Linked DNA regions of Solanum lycopersicum. The protein of the gene in region 2 binds, or shares a complex with, the protein of the main gene of each other region. Links are inferred from orthologs where the notes say so. Each region holds a gene or a part of one and is shown on either strand. Other genes may lie near its edges.

The links.
Region 1: the proteins of probable inactive ATP-dependent zinc metalloprotease FTSHI 5, chloroplastic (region 2) and probable inactive ATP-dependent zinc metalloprotease FTSHI 1, chloroplastic are in contact, whole or in part, in a cryo-EM structure (PDB 8XKV), measured with the Arabidopsis thaliana proteins. The link is inferred for Solanum lycopersicum from reciprocal best matches to the Arabidopsis thaliana genes emb2458 and FtsHi1. Residues at the interface, in NP_187084.6 of Arabidopsis thaliana: Arg815, Gln902, Lys934, Glu938, Arg942, Pro943, Asp947, Arg948, Thr1148, Glu1149, Ser1150, Arg1151, Ser1152, Leu1154, Gln1198, Tyr1199, Trp1201, Asp1205, Pro1207, Ala1208, Val1209, Tyr1210, Tyr1211, Ala1212, Asn1214, Ala1215, Val1216, Ser1217, Ala1218, Leu1219; in NP_567691.1 of Arabidopsis thaliana: Ser497, Val500, Glu653, Leu656, Arg660, Leu678, Arg684, Gln692, Gly693, Arg696, Arg697, Gly731, Gln732, Leu763, Arg766, Val771, Ile772, Tyr773, Gly774, Ser775, Asp776, Thr777, Ser778, Lys779, Ala780, Val782, Leu785, Ser786, Ser789, Arg793.
Region 3: the proteins of probable inactive ATP-dependent zinc metalloprotease FTSHI 5, chloroplastic (region 2) and uncharacterized protein LOC101244341 are in contact, whole or in part, in a cryo-EM structure (PDB 8XKU), measured with the Arabidopsis thaliana proteins. The link is inferred for Solanum lycopersicum from reciprocal best matches to the Arabidopsis thaliana genes emb2458 and AT5G22210. Residues at the interface, in NP_187084.6 of Arabidopsis thaliana: Lys294, Phe302, Arg305, Phe309, Arg404, Ile405, Arg408, Glu424, Phe431, Pro432, Glu435, Val436, Val446, Val447, Pro448, Lys449, Gln452, Leu453, His454, Arg456, His457, Gly458, Trp459, Lys461, Trp462, Gln463, Ala466, Lys467, Leu470, Lys471; in NP_680207.1 of Arabidopsis thaliana: Glu14, Ile15, His16, Lys18, Val20, Pro21, Pro22, Leu23, Asp24, Val26, Phe27, Leu28, Trp30, Leu31, Arg33, Arg37, Val38, His39, Phe41, Lys42, Pro43, Lys44, Asn45, Thr47, Arg48, Ala49, Ile50, Thr51, Pro52, Pro53.

What each region holds. Positions count from the first base shown.
Region 1 is NC_090807.1:67,502,987-67,511,147, forward strand, and holds the start of probable inactive ATP-dependent zinc metalloprotease FTSHI 1, chloroplastic, read left to right. Parts: upstream 1-3,383; 5' UTR 3,384-3,547; coding exon 3,548-4,293; intron 4,294-4,366; coding exon 4,367-4,451; intron 4,452-6,213; coding exon 6,214-6,648; intron 6,649-6,731; coding exon 6,732-6,785; intron 6,786-6,886; coding exon 6,887-6,952; intron 6,953-7,323; coding exon 7,324-7,419; intron 7,420-7,506; coding exon 7,507-7,635; intron 7,636-7,712; coding exon 7,713-7,765; intron 7,766-8,080; coding exon 8,081-8,161. UniProt on the Arabidopsis thaliana protein: Functions in chloroplast biogenesis and chloroplast division. Required for plastid development during embryogenesis. Might be involved in chaperone functions or play a structural role in the thylakoid FtsH complex.
Region 2 is NC_090801.1:45,931,602-45,939,567, reverse strand, and holds the start of probable inactive ATP-dependent zinc metalloprotease FTSHI 5, chloroplastic, read right to left. Parts: upstream 4,416-7,966; 5' UTR 4,212-4,415; coding exon 3,286-4,211; intron 2,703-3,285; coding exon 2,231-2,702; intron 1-2,230. UniProt on the Arabidopsis thaliana protein: Required for plastid development during embryogenesis. Might be involved in chaperone functions or play a structural role in the thylakoid FtsH complex.
Region 3 is NC_090810.1:58,845,664-58,853,691, reverse strand, and holds uncharacterized protein LOC101244341, read left to right. Parts: upstream 1-3,943; 5' UTR 3,944-4,076; intron 4,077-6,627; 5' UTR 6,628-6,654; coding exon 6,655-6,888; 3' UTR 6,889-7,035; downstream 7,036-8,028. Other genes in the region: 50S ribosomal protein L27, read left to right, coding at 1,771-2,037, 2,718-2,819, 2,891-3,076.

The DNA.
Region 1 (8,161 bases), on a different chromosome or scaffold from region 2:
ACATATGATATTTAGTTCCAAAAAAAATTATATCTCCATAAAGTGTAGCAGTAATATCCTCTCCCTCTTCGAATTTCGATGCTTACTTCTTTATCTTTCAGAAAGATATTGGTTTCTTCATGTTTCATTAACTATTACATGTAATATTTCATTCACAAAATGTATCTTCCTGGTTTCTTTCCATTTGCCCTACTGCAGGCACAAAGCGAAATTACGTAAAATTATAAATAGGGTGTTTTCAGTTGTGAGAAATAGAAAATAGCCGTTAAAAACTATGGCCGATTGGGCAAACCTTCCAAACGATCTTATTGCTCACATCGCAAATCGTGTTAAAGTGATTGAAGATTTTATTGCTTTTGGTGCAGTTTGTATTTCTTGGCGAATTGCCGCTACAAAGGTAAATTTCGATCTGCTTTCTCCTCAAGTTCCGAGTCATGAGCTAGAGTTCTGTCTCGAGGTGAGAGTGAGAGTCAAGTCTTGGGTTGAGACCAAGGGTAGGGGCTCAAGTCACGAGTTAGGGTGGAATTGGAGGTCGATATCGGATTTAATGTTAGGTTAGAATTGAGGTATGGGTTCATTCTTGAATTTATGTCCCGAGTTGGGTCGAGGTCACAATAGGCAGGGATAAGGGTTGTTGGTCAAACCTCAAAGCTCGAGCCTTATGGATGGTATCAATGAACCATAGTAAAGTGTGGGATTGGGAAGGTGGAGCATTTAAAAAGAATAGGACTTAAATTGGGCGAGTCCTGACCCCCCAATTTTAGTCCAATCTATTTCAACTCAAATAACTTTAGGGTCAACTCAGTTTAATTTTAACTTATTTAGTTTCAACTCAAACCGCTCATTTGACACCCTTATGTGCGACCATTGTTCGATATTTTTTAAATACTTTCAAAGAACTTTACGGCTTAATTTCATTCCAACCGGCTCATCTGAACTCTACCTCTAGTTGTTAGAAACGAGTTCTTATCACTATTACATCAAAGACTTTCTTTGGTTGGAAACAAATTCTCTCGAAGTTAATTGAGAATTAATCATACATAATACAATTTTGAGATAATTTCTTCCACGGTTATATCCCAATCAAACATTTTGATAATAAGGATGAATTTTAAAATTTACAATCAAACAATAAGATTTAAAATTTGCAAACGAAATATGAGAATGCTCATAGAATAAATAAATTAGTATATAACATAGTAAAAAAAAAAGAAATTAAACAAACTAGCAAATTATTTGTGATGGTATAATCCAAGTAGGCGGAGAAATATGACTAAGTGACAATCCAGGATATATAGATTCAACTTTTCCGTCTTTAAAATTATAAGACCCCATATCTCTACCACCATCCAAATAGTCAAATTCGTCCTTCCAATCGTCAGTAAAATATATATAATTAGGCTTGATTTCAGGAAATTTAGTAGAGTCAATTGAGCATGTTCCTGTATTAAGGCCCAAAAAAATAGTTGAATTTCCCAAAGTTTTAATCTCATCTTCCTCTTTTAATTCGCCGCCCTTGACTACATCTACTTCAAAAACTTTAAATTTATATGTCTTATATCTATGAAGCTCCGGATGATGAGCAAATCGGGTAATAAATAATAGTTTATCTGATAGCTGGACCAGGTAATATTGAACTGAAGGCTGCAGAAATATGTCATGTTCGGACCAATAAAGCAAGTGTGGCTCTACTGCGTTTGGTTTGGGAGTAGCAGGCCCTGGAAAACCCAAAATTCACCACTAGCTGTAACATAATAGAATTTACCCTTATAATAATTGATACCCATGACAGCACCCGAATTCTCCATCTCAATATTTGTTCAACTGAGATCTCCAGAAAGCCAAGCGAGTAATATTTGCGTGATAGTTAACCACGAGTACATAATCTGAGGTAACACAAGGACTTGCAGATAAGATAGCATGCTCTAGAAGGTTCCAGAACACTTCATCTCCGAGACCATTAGAAGCCATTAAGTTATCTCGTGAAGGAAGTTGAATTTGGGTACGAGACAAATGATGCAACAAGTTCATCTCTCCGGTAGTATCATCCATGGTGCAGAGCCATCCTTCCGAGGGAAAACAATATCGTTGTCTAGCTTCGGGGAGAAACAAAGGAGTAACTTTCTGCTTGATAAGAGAGTAAAATTCTCGGCAATCATCATGTTTGTCAGCCAACATAAGTAAAGGAGTTTTGGTAAAAAAGATATCAAATTTATGGTTAGGGGTAGTAGCAATTTGCCAAGAGGTACAAACACAAGTAAAGAATAGGAAATCTTTAGGTGATTCAATACGATTTGCAATCATAGCAAGGAGATCCATCGATAATTCTGCCCAGCCGCCTGCCATGAAGAAGAACGAGTTGTAGTTCTATTTTTTTTTTTGGTTACAAACTGCAATATATATTGGCGCAAGTTTTCCTATTTTTATTCGTATTTCTATATTAATAAGGATTTTGAACAAGCCCAAAAATATTTGTATTCATATATTGACAAGGTTTCGTAAGGGGAAGACAAATTAAATACTAATGATGAAGTCAAAAATAGTCTAATTACACTTAATAACTATAGTTTGATAATTGCAATTCGTAACTACATGTTATAAGGATAGTTTGATAATTGCAATTCGTAACTACATGTTATAAGGAGAAGAGTGGCGAGCGAGACTGGAAGAGGGAGGAGAGAAGCGAACGAGAGAGGGCAGAGAGATGAATTGTAATGTATATTGGTTAGATAATTTATATTATCTATATGTATTTGTATATTCTGACGAGAGAGATTAGGAAAGGAAGGAGAGAGGCGAACGAGATTGGGAGAGAGAAAAGACATAGCGAGATATGACAATAATTTGTATAATTCGATTGTACGTTTGTATAATTCACGTATCTTCATATAATTTTGAGTAATATAAAGTCTGGAATTACACAAATATAATAAAATTCGAAATACCGAATTGATACAAGCATAAACATATGAACTTGAAACAATTATACAAAATATATTATACAAATTGCAGTATACAAAATTCAAAAACTACACGTTTATACAAACTTAAAAAAGTTAAAAAAATAAAAATTGAATGTATATAATGACAAAATTGAAAAACCAAAGAAATCATCATCATTAACAAATATAAACAATCTTATACAAATACAAATCAAAAAAAGAATTATTAGTTGCGAATTACACAAATATGACGAATTATACATATACAAACGTGATTAATATACAAATTCAAAAGCAACTCACAAAATTAATGTATAATATTAATCGCAAATAATAATTATAGCAAGTTATATCTATGATAAGTAATTAAATACTATAAAAATTTACTTAACCAGCATAATTATACTTAATTAGAACAGGCGGTAAACACTAAATGCAGATACGGGTCGTTGGGTCACCCGTTTTACAATTCGGATTCGGATAAACTCCATCTTCTCCCTTGCCTCTTTCGCCATAACACTCTGAGAACAAACAAATTGCAGAGCTAAAAGGACTCCAATTGGTTCAGTAAAAATGCTTCTTCACAAATCCAAAATCTCAGTTCAATGAGTATCAGTTCAGTAAACATGTCTTTTTCAACAGGTAACAATTTTATATCAGCAAGGTCCATTCTTCATCCAAAGCCCAACATTCAGCTTCAAAGTTCATTCGTAATCAAATCCCCATTTCAGAAAAGTTATACAAATCCTATTTTTCATAGAAATTTCAGAAAAAGATCACATTTTTACCATTCCCCATATGCAATTCTTGGAAAATGGAGGTCTAATTCGAAGTCCTCTGAAGAAGGGGCAAGCAATAATGAAGATTTTGTGACTAGGGTTTTGAAAGAAAACCCAAGCCAAGTGGAACCCAAATATCTAATTGGGAATAAACTTTACACTCTAAAGGAAAAAGAGGATTTGGGTAAGAAGGGTTTATTGAATGGTGGTGTTTTGGAGATACTAAAAAGGTTAAATATTAAAGGAATGGTGAAGAATGGAAGTGATGAGGGTAGTTTAATGAAGTCTGGGGATGTGTTTTTGAAGGATATTTTGAGGGAGTATAAAGGGAAGTTATATGTTCCTGAGCAAATTTTTGGTGCTAATTTGTCTGAAGAAGAAGAATTTGAAAAAAATGTTGAAGATTTGCCTAAGATGAGCTTGAAGGATTTTCAGAAGTATATGAAATTTGATAAGATAAAGTTGTTGACTTTTAAAGAGGATACTGGAGCTTCTTTGGGATTGGGGTCTAGAGATTTTATTGTTGAGTTGAAGGAGATGCCCGGAGAGAAGAGCTTGCAGAGAACTAAATGGTTAGTATCATAAACTTGTTCATTTCTTTCACTTCAGATTATAGATTTTGATGTTTATGTGATCATTCTACAGGGCAATGAAGCTGGATCAAAATCAAGCTCAGGCTTTACTAGAGGAGTACACTGGGCCAAGATATGAAGTCGAGAAGCAAATGATGGTATTTCATTTATTTTGGTGCTTTGTTCAATAATGCATAGTGACATTAGCTTCATTATCGGATGGGGAAAAAATTAACAACGACAACAAACCTAGTGTAATACCACAAGTGGGGTCTGGGGGAGGGTAGAGTGTAGGGAGACCTTACCCCAACCTTGAGAAGGTAGACAGGTTATTTCCGATAGATCCCCAGCTCAAAGAACGTTAAAAAAGAGGTCATAGCTACTAGCAGAAACAACAATTAGATAATAAGATACCCATGGTTAAAGGAACAACATGTAGAAATAGAAATATAAAATAGGAAAACAAGAATAAAACTAATGATCTATCGGAACTTAAACGTGTAGCTTAAGCAGACGGTGGTTTGCTATGATTTATAAGCCTGAATTAATTTATTAGTTAACAACCACTTGTACTGAAGTATAGTTCTCTTGATGATGTTTTGTTTTCTTATTTGATAGACAATTCTTCTTTTCAACAACATATAGTTATCGGTCATCAACCGAATGCACTGATTGCAAGTTTCAGATGAAAACTTAATTACTGTTTCTCATTATGTCTTGATTCATTGTGGTTACTATCTCTTGACAGGAAATTCCTGTGAAGGTTTTATGCAATTTGCCTTTACTCTCTTCGGGTAAAATGTTAACTAAATTTAGATTATCTGTTTGGCCTAGTGGCTTGGAATCTTTTATTGTTGACTGTTTTCAAAAAAATACTCAAGCTTGCCTGCCTTGTTGTGCTAGTTACTAATTAAACAGAAAAGGCCTTCTTGTGTACAGTTCTAAGAAACACATAAAGAAATATTTGAATTCGACAAAAAGACGAGTAAGCAGACAAGTAGAAGCTGCCATGAGAAAGTAACAATATAGTTGGAGTATATGTGTATTTAAAACTCAAATATAGATGTACCTGCAGACAAAAGCATATCGGCTGCTAATTTGTTACTAGGCACTGAAGTTAATGCTGTTATCTGATGGTTATATTTCTGTTTAACTGTTACCCTTTGTGGGTATAAATTCATTACATATTTAGTTACTCTGGAACCATACGGCAGAGTCTGCATAATGCAGTAGAAAGCTTTTAGGGTTAGCGGAAGATGGTGAAATTTGAAACTGGAAAACACGACTTCAGTTTGGAAAACTTGAGCAATAAATGAGTTTAATGTAGACTGTTGATTCATTTATGTGCAGTCCATTGGGATTTGGGACGAGTTTTTTTCTTTTCCTTTCTTTTGCAGTAAGTATATAGTTGGAGTGACATTTGTTGTGCAGAAGTGATAGCAGCATCTAAATGTCAACTGACAGTCTAAAAAGTGATATACAGAATTGTCTTTCAATCTAATTATATGATGCTTGGAAAGAAGAGCACAATTTCAGTAATCAAATCTGCCATTTCTTTGAGATCATATATTTCCTGAAGTGTAGACAAATCAACGTCGTGTTATACTGGTGGCAGTCTGTATGGTGACTGTATCACGAGGGAAAAGACTAAAGAGTAATTAAAGTATCTGAAAAGGTTCTCAAGTCCCTTAGCATAAGGTTGTTGTATCTCTTCTTTTTAGCTTAAGATTGACCTTATAGTCTCTTGAGCCTTGAAGGAAATAGGTGCTTTCTCTAGTTATGCAATTGGCAAGATTGTAGAACTTAAGTTTGGTGGGATAAGAATGTGGTTTAACGGGTGGAAACTCTTTGCTTTTCAAGTATGTTGGAAAACCTTTCTTTCTTTTTTCTTTTGCCTCTTACATAGTGATCCTATTGCAGTCTTGGGTGGGAAAATTACCTGAGTATCCTAATCCAGCTGCATCGAAGATATCAAGCAGAGTAATGGTAGAACTTGGAATGCTGACCGCTGCAATGACTGCTGCTGCGGTGATTGTGGGTGCTTTCCTGGCTTCAGCTGTATTTGCTGTGACAAGCTTTGTCTTTGTCGTCACTGTGTATGTCATGTGGCCTGTGGCCAAACCATTTCTTAAGCTGTTCTTTGGTCTCATCTTTGGTATCTTGGAAAGAGTGTGGGATAAGGTTGGTGATGCCTTTACTGATGGAGGAATTTTCTCCAAGTTGTATGAATTGTACACATTTGGTGGTGTCTCTGCCAGTATTGAGATGCTGAAACCAATCATGCTTGTTTTTGTGACTATGGTTCTTCTTGTCCGATTTACTCTTTCGCGAAGACCTAAGAACTTTAGAAAGTGGGTGAGTAATACTCCCTGTCCTAGAATTCGCAGTTTAGAAACACCTGCTTCTTGCAAATTCAAAATGTTGTGTGCTTCATTCAGGATATATGGCAAGGCATAGAATTCTCTCAGTCAAAGCCACAAGCACGTGTTGATGTGAGTTTCTAGTTTCTCACACTCTCTGGTCACAAAAATTCACAACTTTTCATCTGTAGATTATGGCCAATATTTTGTCTAAGTAAGAAGTTTCTGTTTAGGGTTCAACTGGAGTCACATTTAATGATGTAGCTGGGATTGAGGAAGCAGTGGAAGAACTTCAAGAGGTAACAGCGCCTTACACCACATATAATACTTCCTTATTGTGTATTCCCTCCATCCCAATTTATGTGATGTAGTTTGTCTGGGCACAGAGTTTTCAGAAATACGAGAAGTGTTTGCCATATTCCAAAACTACCCTTAATAAATGAATTTTTATATAGAAGAGCACATCTTTGTAGACTTTTTGCCAAATAAGTGGTCCAATATGGGTAAAGTGTTGATAGTGTCATTAAACATTTACCAAAGAAGGAAAGTGTGTCACGTAAACTAGGATAGGGAGAGTAATATTCTCTTACATTATAATGTGTGAAAGCTTGTCCCTCAGCCACAACCTTTAGCTTAATGGTTCTAATTCCTTCCATTTTTTGCCAACTAGTTGGTAAGATACCTGAAGAATCCTGAACTATTTGATAAATTGGGGATCAAGCCCCCACATGGAGTTCTTCTGGAGGGACCTCCTGGATGTGGAAAGGTATGCTATCCATTTCAGACCTTAGATTGGATTCCCAAAAAAAAAGTAGAGGGTCTTCACTAAAATTATATATGATGCTTTTCTCAGACCCTGGTTGCCAAGGCAATAGCAGGTGAAGCTGGTGTTCCTTTTTACCAAATGGCGGGTTCTGAATTTGTGGAAGTTCTAGTCGGTGTTGGTTCTGCTCGTATTAGAGATTTGTTCAAGAGAGCCAAGGTGAGCATAATACGTAGTCAATGAACCATGTGACTTCCCTTATTATGTTTTGAATAATGCCCTAATTGTTGTCACAGGTGAATAAACCATCAGTTATCTTCATTGACGAAATTGATGCACTCGCAACCAGGTATGGATATTTGTCTAAATAAGTAATGGTGAACGTGTTTTTTTTTTACTGGTTTAGCTTAGCACAAAGGAAAATCTGGAGCTGAAGCATCTGGGCATTTTTCATCTAAGTAACCCCTTTAGTGGTAGAACTATTGAAATTGGGTTTTAGAACCTGAAGTTACTAATGTCATGTTGTGGACAATGCTAATGTCGTCAGTGTGTAGCTGTCTAGATATTCTTTTTAATCGTAAAGAAATAACTTAGTCATTCATAAATGACATGTAGACACGTGCAGTGGTTATAGTTTCTCAGACTTATTATTCTTAATAAACAGACGTCAAGGAATATTTAGTGAATCAACTGATCACCTCTATAACGCGGCAACTCAAGAAAGGGAAACTACTTTAAACCAGTT
Region 2 (7,966 bases):
ACGGGTTTGGCACAATTATGGTCGTAGTGGATAGATTCTCCAAAAATGCTACTTTCATGCCTGCCACAGCCGGTTGCACTGCTAAGGAGGCTGCACAATTGTTCTTCAAAAATGTAGTGAAGTATTGGGGGCTGCCGAGGTTCATCATTAGCGATCGGGATCCTCGTTTCACTGGGAACTTTTGGAGTGAACTCTTTGAAATTCTTGGTTCAAAACTTCACTTTTCCACCAGTTTTCACCCCCAAACTGACGGCCAGACTGAACGCGTCAACGCCTTGTTTGAGTGCTATCTTAGGCACTATGTCAGTGCGCACCAGAAAGATTGGGCTAAGCTCCTAGACATGGCGCAATTTTCTTATAACTTGCAGAGGAGTGAATCTACAGGGCGCACACCGTTTGAGTTGGCAACAGGTCAGCAACCCCAATCTGTTGGTTCTATTTGAAAACTATATTTGTGGGGTAGCAAGGTTGTTTCCGATAGAACTGGGATCAAAACAGAAGTTAACCGGAGCAGGGTTGCAAGAAGAAAAGATTTCAGCAAAATATCCAAATACAAAGCACGTGAAGCAATAGATAATAAAAAACATTGAAGAATAATAAACAACATGATTACTTAATACTAATAGGGAAGAGATGGGGCTAGCCCCCTGCCTCCCCCACCTAAAGAATAACAATACTCAACTAACTACTAACCTTCTAACCTAATCCTCGACTTCCTTACTTTCCTACCTAGGGTAATGTCCTCAGTCAGCTGAATTTGTGCCATGTCCTGTCTAATCACCCCACACCCCTCCCTGATTTTTTGTCAGCCTACCTATACCTCTCCTACCTCCTGCTATGACAACCTCTCACGCCTCCTAACGAGCATCTACGCACCTCCCCTTCACAAGCCCCAATTATCTTAACCCCACTTCCCTCATTTTGCATACCATGGAAGCCCACCTTGCCTCATATAACTTGGTTCCTACCCATATCTCTCCTGATATGCCCACACATCCATATGAGCGACCTCATCTCTTACATTCATTTTCTGAACATAGACATTCTTGACTGGACAACACTCCACCCCATTCAGCAATGTGGGTCTAACCACCACTATGTAGAACTTGCCTTAAGCCTAGACGACACCTTATCACATGGTACTTCGAAAATGAACCTCAATTTCGCCCGCCCCGCGCCCATATGATGTGTGACATCATCATCAATCTCCCCGTCTCCTTGGATAATAAACCCAAGATACTTGAAGCTCCCTCTCTTGGAAATGACTTGACATCGATCTTTACTTCCATCTCCCCCTCGTGCATTATGCCACTGAGTTTACTCTCCAGGTGCTTTATTTTAGTCTTGCTGAACTTGAAACCTTTAGACTCTAGGGCATGTCTCCAAACTTTCAGCTTATCATTAATTTTACCACTCATCTCATCAATTGACATTATGTCAAGTTCCAGATGTAAATCACAAAGTAATTGATGACGTCAATTACAAGATACAAAAACACGAGGTTGATCTCGAGGCTCAAAAGTTCCCAAAAAAAAACTTGAAAAATATTTCATTCTCCATTAAGTAAAATTCATAACTTTGCTTCCCTTTCTTTATTTTTGAGAAGTCACAAAATAGAGTGCCTTTAATCAATACGACCAATCTGGTAATAGAATTTCTTGGGACAAAGATAGCAGGAGCCAGCGACTTGCAATAGCCTGTACAGTAATACCTAGACCTCCTTTTAGCTCAATATTTCTATTAATTAACTACTAACTCTTTCCATACCATAACCAGGTCATTCAAAATGCTTAAATGTGAAAGCAAGTAATTTTCTAAATTATACCTTCTTATCCTACCTAACAGGCACCTCTGTTTATCCATGAGACCACAACCTATACAAACTATAATGAACAAACCACTCACAATACAGAGTCTTTAACTTCTAGATCACAAAATTGAAGACCAAGATATGAGACTAAATCAGTAACTACGAAACACCGGTTAAATGAATACAAAGTAACTCTTTACATTTTTTTTCCTGAAAAGTGGTAATGTATACAAAGTAAATCTTACTACAGAGAAAAAGATAAGCTATCGATCGCGATGAGCAACAAAGGGAATTCCAAGATGATTAATCTACTGCTAAATGATAAAACTGCTGATATATAGTACTAGAAAGTAAAAGTAGAAGTGATGATTGCACAACCTAGCATAAGAAGGAAGAACCAAGCATTTTAGCAAAAGTTACCTGTTTCTCAGCCATATATTTTTTACCATGCTCAACATTCTCCAGCAAATCCCTCTTGAGGTCTGCTTTAACATCCTCACGCCATTTCTTCCAATCATGATGCAAGTGGAGGCTAACGGCCTTTGGAACTACAACCTCCTTGTTTCCAAACATCCACTTCAATTCTATTTCAGGGAAACCCTTGACAACTTCATCCACTGGTGTGTTTACAACAAAACGTTTTTCATTGCCATATCTCTTCATTTTTTTCTTAATACGACTCTCAAGATTCCGTTGCATCTCTCTTGAGTCCTTAAGTGCTTGTTCTATTCGCTGACCGAACACCATAGAGTCTTGATCAAAAAGGAGTATATTGTCATCATCTTCCAAAATATTGGGTAGAACTATCTGCTCCAACAAATGTCTTTGAGCAGTTTGCAATTCTTCTTTTATCTCAGATCTAGAAAGCTTAGTGACAGGGCTTTTAGGCACGCTGCAAAGACACACAAGTATATAGAGCAATGTAAATGATTGGGAAAATATAGTTCACAAACAACATCAATAGTAAGTCTTGTTGTAAACAAAACTAACCTCATCTAAAGAACAAAAGGATATCTACAGCCTACAAGAATAACATGCTAAATGTCAATTATCTAGTCGCCAGTATAAAGTAGATTAGCTGACCATGGAACAAGTGCAATTGGCGTTGGAATTAAATTCTAGGTAATAGAACAGTGAACTAAACATTAAAACGTCTAGATAATGTATTGCTGGAAAATACCAAAGCAATTTAGGAGGTTAAATCCTAAAAGAAAGTAAAAGCAATCAGTTCACAACAGAGCCATCTGTTTTAGGTGCCAACTAAGTTATCATGCACAAAGGGGCAGTTCCTTCCCAAGATATCCCCAGAACCTAATTGCTCAAATAAAAAAATAAGGCTCAATGCCAAATTCATGCCAATATCCATCGTTTAAATTAATAAAGCTTTGCTGCCATTGCTTGTACAAAAGATATGTTGCGCTATTATACATCAAAAAAATTGTGTATAAGCTACTAAAATTCTAACAATGTCTTACCTCTCAATGCTTTGCAGCCTCATTTTCCTCAGAAACTCCGTAACCAAGATTTGACACTCCCTCTCAATAGATGCAAGTTCCCTCACACCAATGCTCAATGCAAGTGTTTCTCTCCTCATAATCTCATCATCTATCTCTGCAATCCTCTCCCATACCCTGTTATATTCCTCATCACTCTGTCTCACTTCCTCATCCAATTTTGCAACTTTTTCCTTTACTACTGCATCTTTTTCATTGCCCTTAGCCTTCTTCAATAAACTTTCCTCCTCCCTCTTATTCTTCAGCACTACATCAAGAATCTCGTCGGAACGATTGACCAAGGCATTTCTTTCCCCCTTTAACAATCTCAGTTCCGCATAGAGACCATTCATGATCTCCCCTTGCAACTCATTCCTCTTCATGTTGACCTCCTTTAGCTTTTCCTCCACACATTTCACATCCTCTTTACCAGATTTCACCTCCTCTATCACTCTAAGCAACCCTGTAACCGTCTCTAACAATCTCTTCGTACAATGTGAATATTGATGTCTAGTCTCAAGGGCATCTTTCCGTTTATTACTAGTTTTCTGTATCAGCTCAGCTGCGGCGGGGGGCGGTGCAGCAGCAACAGAAGCAGTAGCAGGGAATTGAAACCCGAAAACCGGGCACAATCCAAATGCAATAGAGAATAATGTGTACACTACAGGCTTTAAGATGGGTTTAAGAGGATTTTGGTCATCTGGGTTTGTGTCTTTTTGGGTGATAGAACATTTTATAAGTCTAGCTGGGGCTGAAGCAATAGGAATTCGTAAAAGACTTATGGGTTTACCTGGTTCATGGGAAGAGAGCTTTTTCGACCGAATTCGGCAATTGGAATGGCTATGGCGATTCAAGAATGGATTTTGAAGATTGAAGAATGCGGCAGTAGTAGTAGTAGAAGCATACATAATGAAGAGGTGTTATCTAGTCATGAAATTGGAAAATGGAGAGTAATGGCATGGTGCAGAAAGTTGAAGAGAAGCAGAGAAGAAGTAGGATAAGACCGGCGTTGGGGTTTTAAGTTTTAACCAAAAAACCCAGAGAAGAGACGGCGAGAGCAAATAGAATCCCAAATTAATCATGGGCTCTTCTTGTTCTAGTCTTTTTGCCATTTCTCTTTTCTTTTTTGTATTTCTTTTATTTTACTATCAAATATTTTTCATTTATTTCAAATTCTAAAATTAGAGTTATATTTGATCATATCTTTTTAATTAAGAACATGTAAAATTTGAATATATATGTTTTTTCAAATATAATTATATTTTTAATTTCTAAATTCTAACAAAATTATTTAACTTAACTAAAAAAAGTAATATCTCAAAATATAATATCATTAATTAGTTAGATCTCTTTATTGGCGCATGTTAAGCGACCTCTAAAATGCATTCTCTCCAATGGTTCGGGGACGAGCAAAGAGGAACATTAATACACAATTACTGGAGAAGAGGATTGAAGAACCTGCTCAAATAAAAAGTATATATTCAAGCTACCGTGGTAGCAATATCGCTAGTTATTTTTCTTTTTAGATTTGTACTTTATAAAATAAGGCAGAAATGGGTTAATTAAAGACATGGGCAAGGAATTCTTTGTTTGTTTCCATGTGTGCTCTATTCTAATATAGAAAATATAGATTTAGGTGACAGTATATATTAGATATGTTTATCTGGTTTTGAATTAGTGAAGAATATGTATATATTTCTCTGCACTCTTGTACCACGGTGAGTGCATCTCATATTGGACGTGTCGGACTATTATGTTTCCAACATCTCGTTGCAACTATGGTCATGTCTATAGGTCTAGGATCAACTTAAGACTTGTCAACGGATCGGAACCGGTTCTCGGATCAAAATGAACCGGTATCGAACCGAACGGGACGTGTTGATCGGTATGTTGATTGGTACTGGAATGAACCAGATTGGAATTACCGAAATAAATAATCGATTCTGTCCCGTTCCACTATATACTGAGATGGAATCGGAAAGAACCGGAATGGATCGTATGAAACGGAACGGGATAAACGGGATGACATTTTTTGAAATTACGAAAATATGATTATTTTTTTTATTTTTCTAAGTTTAAATTAATAGTTTTTAAATTTATACTATAATTTTTTACTTAAGTTTATTTTAAAGATATTTTTTTAATTTTTTATTATTATTAAGTTTGCAAGTAAAGTGTAATAAAGTTCTCAAAATTTAAATCTTTTGAAGTTTATACTTTATAAGTTATTACTTATTATTCATTAATATTTATTTTATAAGTTATATTTATAACTTGTGTCTTGTAAATTATAAATAAATAAAATTTGTAATTTAAAAAAAAAATAAATTAAAATAAGGATAAAACAATTACAAAAATTAAAAAATATCAATTTAATTTATTTAAATTTGTAACAAATTACAATTTCAATTTACAACTATTAGTAGAGTACATAGTTTACGCAGCCACCTTCTAGGAAGGGTTCTGTTTCAACTAAGTCTCGAATGTAATACTAATAGTTGTATGGTCCTGTAAATTCTCTTTCTAACTCAGATATAGATTGATTGTAATCAACTTCTGGTCTTGTTAAAGCTCGTTAACGATCTTGAAGTTCGACGCCATCATCACTACCACATCCAATAGCTGAATTTATGAAAAGTTCAAATTGACTATCTAACCTTGAAAGTCCTTGATTTCTACGCTCAACATTTATCCAGTCTCTAAATAACACTGATATCTTCAAGCTGTCTTCTGCTAACAAATATATGTGGTCTCCAATTTGAAATCTTGTCGCGCTGAAAACTACCTCCGAAGCTACTGATGATCCTTGAATTGCAAGTACATCCTTCACCATCCTACTAAGTTTTGAAAATTGAGTTCCACGATTCCTCCACCAGTTCAATAGTTGCGGTATACCTTCATCGTTTGTAATATCATCCGAACCCTGTTCAAGATATTTAACAAATTTACATTTATTAGAAGAGTCAAGACCAAGTTTATGTTTCACTCGTCCATGAGCACCTACTTGATTCATAGACGTTTGAGGATTTTCAACATTATCTAAGAAAGAATATTTATCATACATTTCTTTAGCAAAGAACTTATACTATTTTGACATGTTACCAAATCAAGTTCTTGTTCAGGTTGAATATCTAAATTCCGATAAATGCATTCAACTAAAGTTTTTGCACCTTATTCTTTATATTCAGAGTTGAAAAGAATTGCAGTTAAATAAATTTAATGGATAGGGGGAAAAAATCTTAAATTTTGTAATCATAACTTCAATAGCAGAGGTAAATAAAGCATTTATATTATATTCAGAAAAGATAGATGAAATCTCACATATGTATATTAAAATTTCAGAAATAGTAGGATAATATATTCTAGAAAAATTTTTAGTAGCATCATAAAATGATTTCAAAAATATTCTAAGTTCATTTACTTCATCCCAATCACTATCATTAAGTTTTAATTCAGGATAAACATTATGATTATTAAATAGCATAGTAATAGGTTGCCTATATGCATAAACAACTTCAAGCATATCATATAAGAAATTCCATCTAGTTTTTACATACTTTAGAACTTTTCTAAACGGAAGTTTAAATGCATTACAAAGTTCTTTAAATTAATTAATTCTACTGCTACTATTTATATGAAAATGTAAAAATAAGCATTATCAATTTTATCACAACTATTTTCAAATGATTTCACAGTGTCACTAACAACCAAATTTAATATATGTGCTGCACATCTAACATGAAAAACATATTTACTAATAGGACAAGGTCTAGGTTCTAAGCATATTAATAGCATTTAAATTAACAGAAGCATTATCTAAAGTAATACTAACGACTTTATCAGAAAGATCGAAAAAATTTAAAATTTCCAACACAGTAATAACAATATTAATTTTGGTTTTTTTCTTTTGACAAATTTTATAACCAAGAATTCTTTTTTGTAAATTTCAATTATAATCGATCCAATGCGCAGTAACAGTTAAATAGTCAAAACCATTAGGACTACGTCCCATATCAGTAGTAATAGCAACTTTACAATTCATTAGTTCAAAATAGGCACGTAAAATATTGACAGTGTTTTTCTTGAAATTCAAAAATATCTCTTTTCACCATGCTTCTTGATAAACCTTTATAACTAGGATTATATGTTTCACGAATATATGCAATAAAACCCAGATGTTCTCCAAAACTAAAAGGTAAATCACAAACAACAACCATTTTAGCAAAGTTTTCACGATCACGATCCTTGTTATAGATTCGATGTGTAAGAGGACCACTTGGGTTCGAAGTATTTAATTCACTTTAAACCATATTTGATCCTCTAACAGATGCTTCAACACTACAATTTTCAACAACTTCAAGAGAAGACATATATGCAAACCACTCTTTACTATACTTGTTAATCAAATGTTTTTTAGTCCCCCGTTGAACCTTCAATCCCACCAGATGTTTGAAATGTCGTTTACAAATATTACATATACTAAAAGTTTTTTCTTCATTCAAATAACAAAAATTTCCACACATGTGATTTTAAAGAACGTTGTACCTTGGTCTTACCTCTAGTTGGAATAATAGGGGGACGAGTAGTTTTAACCGGAGGTGGAGCTTCAGTACCTATACTATTGAGGTCGGGGCTAGTCGGTGTATCATCTAAATCTACTTCT
Region 3 (8,028 bases), on a different chromosome or scaffold from region 2:
TCATTTTGACATTCTTAACCGTACTTGTATGGAGGTATGCAAAAAAAAATTATTCTTATACTTTTTATCGAAAAATCATATTATATATGCCCGTAAGTAGGAGTATGAAATTTTCTCGATAAAAATTAAATTAAAAATTTTTAAATATGATTTCATTTTTTGAAAATACTTTTCGCAGAATATCAATTTGAGATTAAAAAACGTTTTCAAAAATATAAAAACAATCACTTGGATTTTAGTTTCGAAGAAAAGATATCTGAAAAAACATTTTATTTTACTAATTAAAATCATATTATTCCCCTTTACAAGTTCGATAAAAATATTTACAACTTCAATATTTATAAGCAAAATTAATTTATGTCCATAACTTATGTTCGATAAACGAAACCATTAAACTTAACCCGAAAACAAGCTAAAAAAAGCCCAATTCAAAACGGGTCAAGTATATTATAAAAAGGATGGCTGACATTTCTCTTATCTTTTTATCTCGAAGATTTTGCCATTGTGGCTCCATAATCCCCTCGGTGAGTTCATCTCTTTTCCCCTCTTCTGTAAATTCAATGTTTTTTTCTTGTACTATGTTTAATTGGGTGTTCGAAAATGTATTTAATTTTAGCTGACTCGCAAATCTTGGTTTACTATTCTCTCCATTTCAATTTGTTTGTGTGGTTCGACTTTGGCAAATAATATAAGAAAGTAAAGATTTTTTTTTAATCAAGTGGGGTTGAAGTAAAACTAATGTTATGTCGAATGTATCAAAATGTTGTTTAATGTGAAAAGTTAGAATTGAAGAGTTGCTATTGGAAATTGAAATGGAGGGGGTTAGTATTTATGCTTCACTAGGATTTGAACTTGAGACGTTATGGTTATCAATCTACTTTATTGACCGCTACTAATATTTTAGGTGGACTGCAATCTTGATGAACATACTAGTGTTTATTTTGTTGTTGATACTGGTTTCCTTTGATTCCTCTTTGTTTTGTGGTTTAAAGACTTGTCCTTTATGATTAAATATGGTTCTTTTATGACCAATTGCTTGCGTAAGGACTTATTTGCGGAATATTTTGTGGTGTAGAGTTTGCGAAATGCGTTTGTGGTGGAGGGGGGTTGATGTTTGGTGTAATTTTGAAAAGAAAAACAATGAGTGGAAGTAATGTGTATTGAAATGCAAGAGATATATAATGGAGTAAAGATAGTTGTAATGAGGACTTAAGGTACTTCTATTGTTAGGAGTGTGTGTTTTGTATTTTTTTTGAAGATTGATAATAAGCTCAGCAAATTGGTTTTATATTTTGATAAAGCTGAGTATTAAGAAATGACAATATTATCTAAACAGTGGTTGGAGCGAGCGATAAGGAGAAAGAGCTGAAATCGTAGTAAAAGGAAATGACTTATCTCATAAGTGAGAGTAGTTATTTCCCCCTTTTGATGGAAAACTTTTTTTCTTAGGAAATATGTTTAGGACCATTTTTATCACTCTTCTACTGTTTTAGTCATACCGAGCAGTGTTAAAGTCAGAGTCAAACCTTCTGTAGACTTACTATCAAAAATATATTTCTCCAATTTGTGTTCGCGATGATCCGGGGAAATTTTAGATTGGCGATTAAGATCCTTGGTAGTTGTTATGGTAATAGTTTTGTCCTCTTAGTAGTTCTATGCTCATATTTTTCCCATTGTTAAATATCACTTCCTTTCCTTTAGGCCTCTCATCTCTGATAGTAAGTACCACGAGAGGCTACTGAATTTCTTTGTTTTCTTTGCAGCGTATAAATGGCAGTGAGTTTGAGTCTTGTTTCCTCATTCAAAGGACTCTCCTTATCTTCCAATTCTCTCCTTGGGGTTTCTCTTCCCATTGCCCCTAAGTTCTCCGTTTCCTTCCCGTTGAAATCTCCATTGACAATTGAGTCTGCACACAAGAAAGGAGCTGGTAGCACTAAGAATGGTCGAGATTCTCCTGGACAGAGGCTTGGTGTCAAGATTTATGGTGACCAAGTCGCCAAGCCCGGTTCTATAATCGTTCGCCAGCGCGGTACAAAGGTTTCAATTTTACTTCTTCTGGATCTCCTCTCTCTTTTTTATTTTTGCCTAAAACTCGTATTTGCTGTGGAAGTTCTGATAGTTCTTTTGATTAATTAATAGTGCTTGAAATGAATTCGGATGAACCCACCCAAGTAGAGTGTAATTCCAGTTTTTTTGCTCAATACCTCACAAACATACTAGGTCCTGGCATCTTGTCAATAACTCTGCTCCATTCGTCTGGCTTTCTTCGTTTGGTTTGTATATTATTTGTTAGAAATATGTGGATTGTCTAGAGGGCGTTAGATTGAGTACAAAACAAGGTACTAGAGGGATACATATCTTGTCATTTGAAGTAACAGATTGCTATAAGGTTTAAGGTTTTGAGCTCGTGTCGTGAAGACATAGTTGGAAGTTCTCTTTAAGAAATGCACATTTGTTATAATCCGACTTGAGTTTTTTTTCTTTGCCGAAAGTGTCAGTTTCTGACAGTATGATGCTATGAGTAGATGTCGTCTTCTATCAGTTAGATAGTAAAAGGGTTTATGCCAGAGGTTGGTATTAGTTTTACTTTTTTTCGGCTCTGATATGATCCTGTTATCGTCTGTTTGTTTGCTCTAAGAGTAGTTCAAAAGTTGCATTCTCCGTTTAGCATTGCCATATATTCTGTTCCCTAATCGTTCTCGTGGTGATATTTCCAGTTCCACCCAGGAAAGAATGTTGGACTTGGCAAAGATCACACAATATTTTCTTTGATTGATGGACTAGTCAAATTTGAAAAGTTTGGACCTGACAGGAAAAAGGTTGAGTTCTTTAGCTTACTGCTTGTAGATATGTGGTACACGAGTGTTATTAACGTATACTGACTGTGCAGATAAGTGTTTATCCACGCGAGGTGCAACCTGAAAACCCCAACAGCTATAGAAACCGAAAGAGAGAGTCCTTCAGATTACAACGTGAACGTAGAAAGGCACGAAGAGAAGGTGTCATCCCTGAGCCTCAGTTGATAGTTGCTTCTGCTGCTGAATCCTCTGAAGATAATCCCATCACCACTTGCTGATAATGGTCTTTCGATTTTTCAAACATTCTGTTGTCGTTTTGGTTATTGCTAGTAGCTACTTGGGAACACATTTGCAGGCACATTTTCTAAACTGTGTTTCTGCCATTGTTGTCTTTTTTTGTTTGTAAATTGTGTTACTGAAAGCATGAGTCTTTGTCACAGTTTGTATGAGTACAGAATGAAATGTATGATTCAGAAGATGCAGCTTTGCACAATAGCACAACCAAAAGAGTTTTGAGTTTTCATTCGGTTTAAGTGTTCAGTTGGTAAAATCACAACTAAAATAATCCAATTTCAGAGACCTTCCACGTTATTCCGCCGCAGAAGCTAGTAGTAAGAGAAATCTTCTAATTTTAAGGAAATTTGAAGATTTTATCAGCAAATTTATGATCAAATTTAAACTGTTTAACAACCGTTTCATATAAATTAGGAGGATGAGAGTATATTTAAAAGAATAATGAGTAGTACATAAAAGGGTTCATTTGATATTAGAAGGAATATTAAATTTGGAATAATCTGTGGTCATATGATAAGTTATCTTATTATATATACCATAGAAAATTAATCCAATAGGATAAATTTGTTTATCTCATCTCTCGTATAAAAATAGTGACTGTGAAAACAATTAAGTGTAATTATAATTAATTTTAAAATAAAATATTTCATCCCTTTTAGTGGTTATCTTATTAAAAATAAGTTAATTTGAAAAAAAGTTATTCCATCAGCCATACGACATAACTTATTTCGTCAGCCCAGGGACGAAAATAGTAGGATAAATAATCCAAAAGAAAAAAAAACAAACTATGTAATACCCTATATCAAAATTGAAATAAAATAATCTTACATTTTATGGCGAGTTTATTATACGATCCCAAAACAAATACTCCGACCCGGAACCCGACTCTGGTGCTGAACAAATTTGTGGCAGCCATTTCTCTGTTCTCTTTGTAGAGGATTTTGTGATTCTGGTTGTTCTTCATCTTGCGATTTGCGACCCTCGGTGAGTTCATCTATTTATTTTATTTAATTTTTCTCATGTTTAAGTTTAGTTGTAATATGTGTCAAATCGCACTAGGCAAGCCCTGTGCCAAATTTTAGCTGACTGCAATCTTGATGAACAAACTAGAGTTGGTACTGTGATTTTTTCTGATTTCTCTGTGTTTGTGGTTTAAAGACTTGTCCTTTTTGGTTAAATTGTGAACCCTTTATCACCAATTGTTTGGTTAATGCTTTATTTGCGGAATTATTTTTTTGATGTAGAGTTTGAGAATGAGACTATGGAGGAAGGTAGATGATGTTAGGCGTTATCTTGAAAAGAAGAGTAAATGTGAATGTGATGTGTATTGCTAAGGAGCAAGAGATAGTTGTAATGAGGACTAAAGGTGATTTTTCCATTTAGGTGTGTTAGGCATGAAGGAAAATGCTTTTCCGAAAAATAAGTTGTGAGTATTATATGTGAGCATTGGTTGGAGCTAGCCGAGGAAGTGGTGAACTCTGCGTTCACTCTACCCTCCCCAGACCCCACTTAGCGGGATTGTCACTGGGTATGTTGTTGTGTTGGTTGGAGCTAGCGATATGGAGTAAGAATTGAAATAGCAGTAAAAGGACATGACTTGTGAGATAAGTGAGGAGAAGTCATTTTCCTCTTTTGGTGGAAAACATTTTCAGCAACCAAACACGAAAAAATAACTTCTTATATTTGAAGTTAACTAATTTTAACATGTATTTGTGGAAAATGATTCTAGTCACAGACTGAACAGTGCCAAAATCACAATCAGACTTTTCTAGACTTACTATTAAAAATGTATTTTTCCGATTTGTGTTGGTGATGATCGGAGTATATTTTGGATTGGTTATAATATTCTTCTTGGTTGTTTTTTTATGTCAATCGTTAGTTCTATGGTCATCTTTTTCCCCATTTTATACTTGGTACGCTTTGGCATATCCTAATACGGTGAAATAGAAATGCGCCTTAGTCTTGAATTCCTTTATGATATTCATCTTGTTACCTTTATTTAAACTTCCAAGATATTTCAGGCTGTTATTGATACTGTGCTATTATGACATTAGATTCTACTATAGTCCTAATTGGTATGCTTGGGTTGTTCCCGAGTTTTGAAACTCTTTTTACTAGTAAAAGTTACATAACCTTTTTCATTCCATGGGCAAATGCTAAGAGGGTAACCTAAAACCATCTGTATATTGAACATACTAATCAAATAAAAGAAGGTACTGGACTGCAAATTAAATAGCACTAGACGTTTAAATTAGGAAAAATGATGCAATTGTAGAATTTATCAGTGCAAGATGCCTTTTGTGGCGTACATAATCCAAACCTGTACTGATGATATCTTTGAACAGCAGGTTAATTGAACTGCTCTTGAGTCCTAAAGTCATTTGTACCTATTTATGTTTGATGCATATTTCAGTTTGTATTTAGATTGAGAGGAACCAAATAATGCAGTCACTGGTAGCCATATCAGCCATTGCTTATCAAGTTTTTATGCTTTTTCGATCTTTTGGCATTTTATTTGTAGAATTATTTGCCATCTGTCCGTGTCCGAGCTTTGGTAGACCGTAGATAAGAGTTACATGATACTTGTTGCTGGTGGGTTCTTGATTCTAGTACACTACAACGACTGGTTTCGGGATAGATATCTTATTTACACATATTAAGTGAATTATTAACATAATTACAAAGTTTGGGCCAAACTTCTCTGGATTCTGTGAACCCGTAGCTTGTGGTGTAGATCCGCCCCAAGGGAGAAAACTGTTGAATGAAAATTTGTTAGTAAATTTACTCCAAAGCAAGAATAAAAATGGAAAACTCTTAACAATTTCTGTGAATTATGAATCTAGTGCCTGTTGGCTGCAAAGTGACTCAGAATTTATGGAATGGTACTCACGAGAACCATAAGACCGGCAAGCTATCCAAGATGATATTTGGAAGCCTATCTCGCTCTTAGTGTTATATAATAGGTCTGTTAGACCATGTTCTGTATATGCTTGATCAAGTTGTTCTCAAAAGTCATTACACACAGCCAGTAGAAAAGTGCTGATTGCTGAAAGTGAAATAGAGTGACTGTTGCTGCATGGGTGATGAATCATATTGGTGCGCATGAAGCTTAGACTCTCCAAAAATGTTATTGAACTTGTGTTGAATCCTCCAAAAATGCTACTTTTGAAGGATCTGGCTCGCACTTGTTGGCATTTTTGAAGAGTCGGAGCAACTTAGTTTTGTCCAGTCATCCTACTTATAGACATCTATATTGATTATCTCACACTCTCGCTCTGAACTTTAAGCATTTCTATCCTTGAAGCCTTTGATTTGTTTCGTTGAGAAAAAAGAAAGTTGATAATGATCATATGCTACCAAGATGTTCTTACTTTCTATACTGCTCCTGAAAGTATTGACACACAGCTCCTCCTTCCGCGTGTTTATTGTCCATTTTATCTTCAGATTATTGAGATGCCTTTCTATTTGTGGTTTAGTGTTTGTTAAACTTCAGCATATCCATTTTCGTCTTGCCACATTCTCTTGTTTGCATCAGTCATCAGGTTCTTGAAGTTGACCAGTGATGGGAAATAGGCCAGCAAAGCCGGAGAGAGATGAGGTGCTTTTGAAGATTGTGCCTCCTCTAGATCAAGCATACGTTAGATGGCTTGCTCGTGATCTCGAGAGAATTCATGGCTTCACTCCAAGAAACCCTCGTGCTGTAAGGCCACCCGATCATTACATAGAATACATGCGTTTACAGGGATGGTTGGATGTCAGCTTAGATGACCCCGACCTTGCTCATCTACTTAAATAGTGAAGTATATCAACTGCAATACTCTTAAGAACATGTATAAACTTCAAATTGATGTTTAGTTTTCTGTACTGGTACATTGAGATTCAGATCCTGTGTATGATTTTATGAAATGGAAATCTTGTGAAATATCACTTGTTTGCTTGAGCTATGTGACTTTATTAGTATGAGTTTGCAATTATTTTCCCCTAGAGGGTCGCGGCGCGATCCTATCGGATCACTTTACCCTTAATCATAACTCTCGTGTTCGAACCATGGAATAGAAAAAACTTGTAGAAAATGCTCCCCCTTCTAATGACCTTTCAGTAGTTTGGGGTCTTCGAAAACAACCTTTCTATCTTGTATCTCCACGAGATAAAAGATAAACTCTGGATATATTTTACTCTCCACTAGGTTTCAATGATAACGTTGAAAATTTCTTTTTATCTAGTAGTGTGACTTTTGATTTAAAATCTCACTAGCGATTAAAACGACAACCTGATCTATAATGAATAGTGATTGATTATACATATCTGCAAATCGATAAGTCGAATCGAACCACATCCCTAATCGAATAGACCCTTAATATATATTTTTTACAATAACACAAATATTGTTATTTGTTTAACATAATACGTCTCAAAAGTTATATGACTATATAAGTACTATCATGTTGTACACTAACTAATATACATGGTCGATGACTAGATATGATTATTACTTTGCAAGTAATTTTTCTTCAACCGATTGATTAAACATATTAAAGTTTTTATCAATAATTTTTTTTTTCATGGAGCCCATAGAATTCAATTTGACATGTGAAAATGGAGGGTGCAAACTAAATCCAAACTTTATCATTAAACTATAATTGCATAATCATATTATTAAAAAAAAAAAACATAGTACTAAAGTACCATTTATTTACTTTGATTAATTAATTTTTATAATATATAGTATTTTTTTATTTACAAATAACTGCAAATTCCCTCCACCTATATATCCGAACCAAATTCCCTCTCTTTCTTCTTCTTGTTCTTCCCTTTCTCTCTCTTCCCGCTATTTTTTTTTCCCTTTTCCCAATTTCAGATCTCATCTTTTTCCACTCAATTCTCCTTTTTTTCCCATCAATTCTCACTTTTTTGACAAACCCCTTATGCCTAAAAC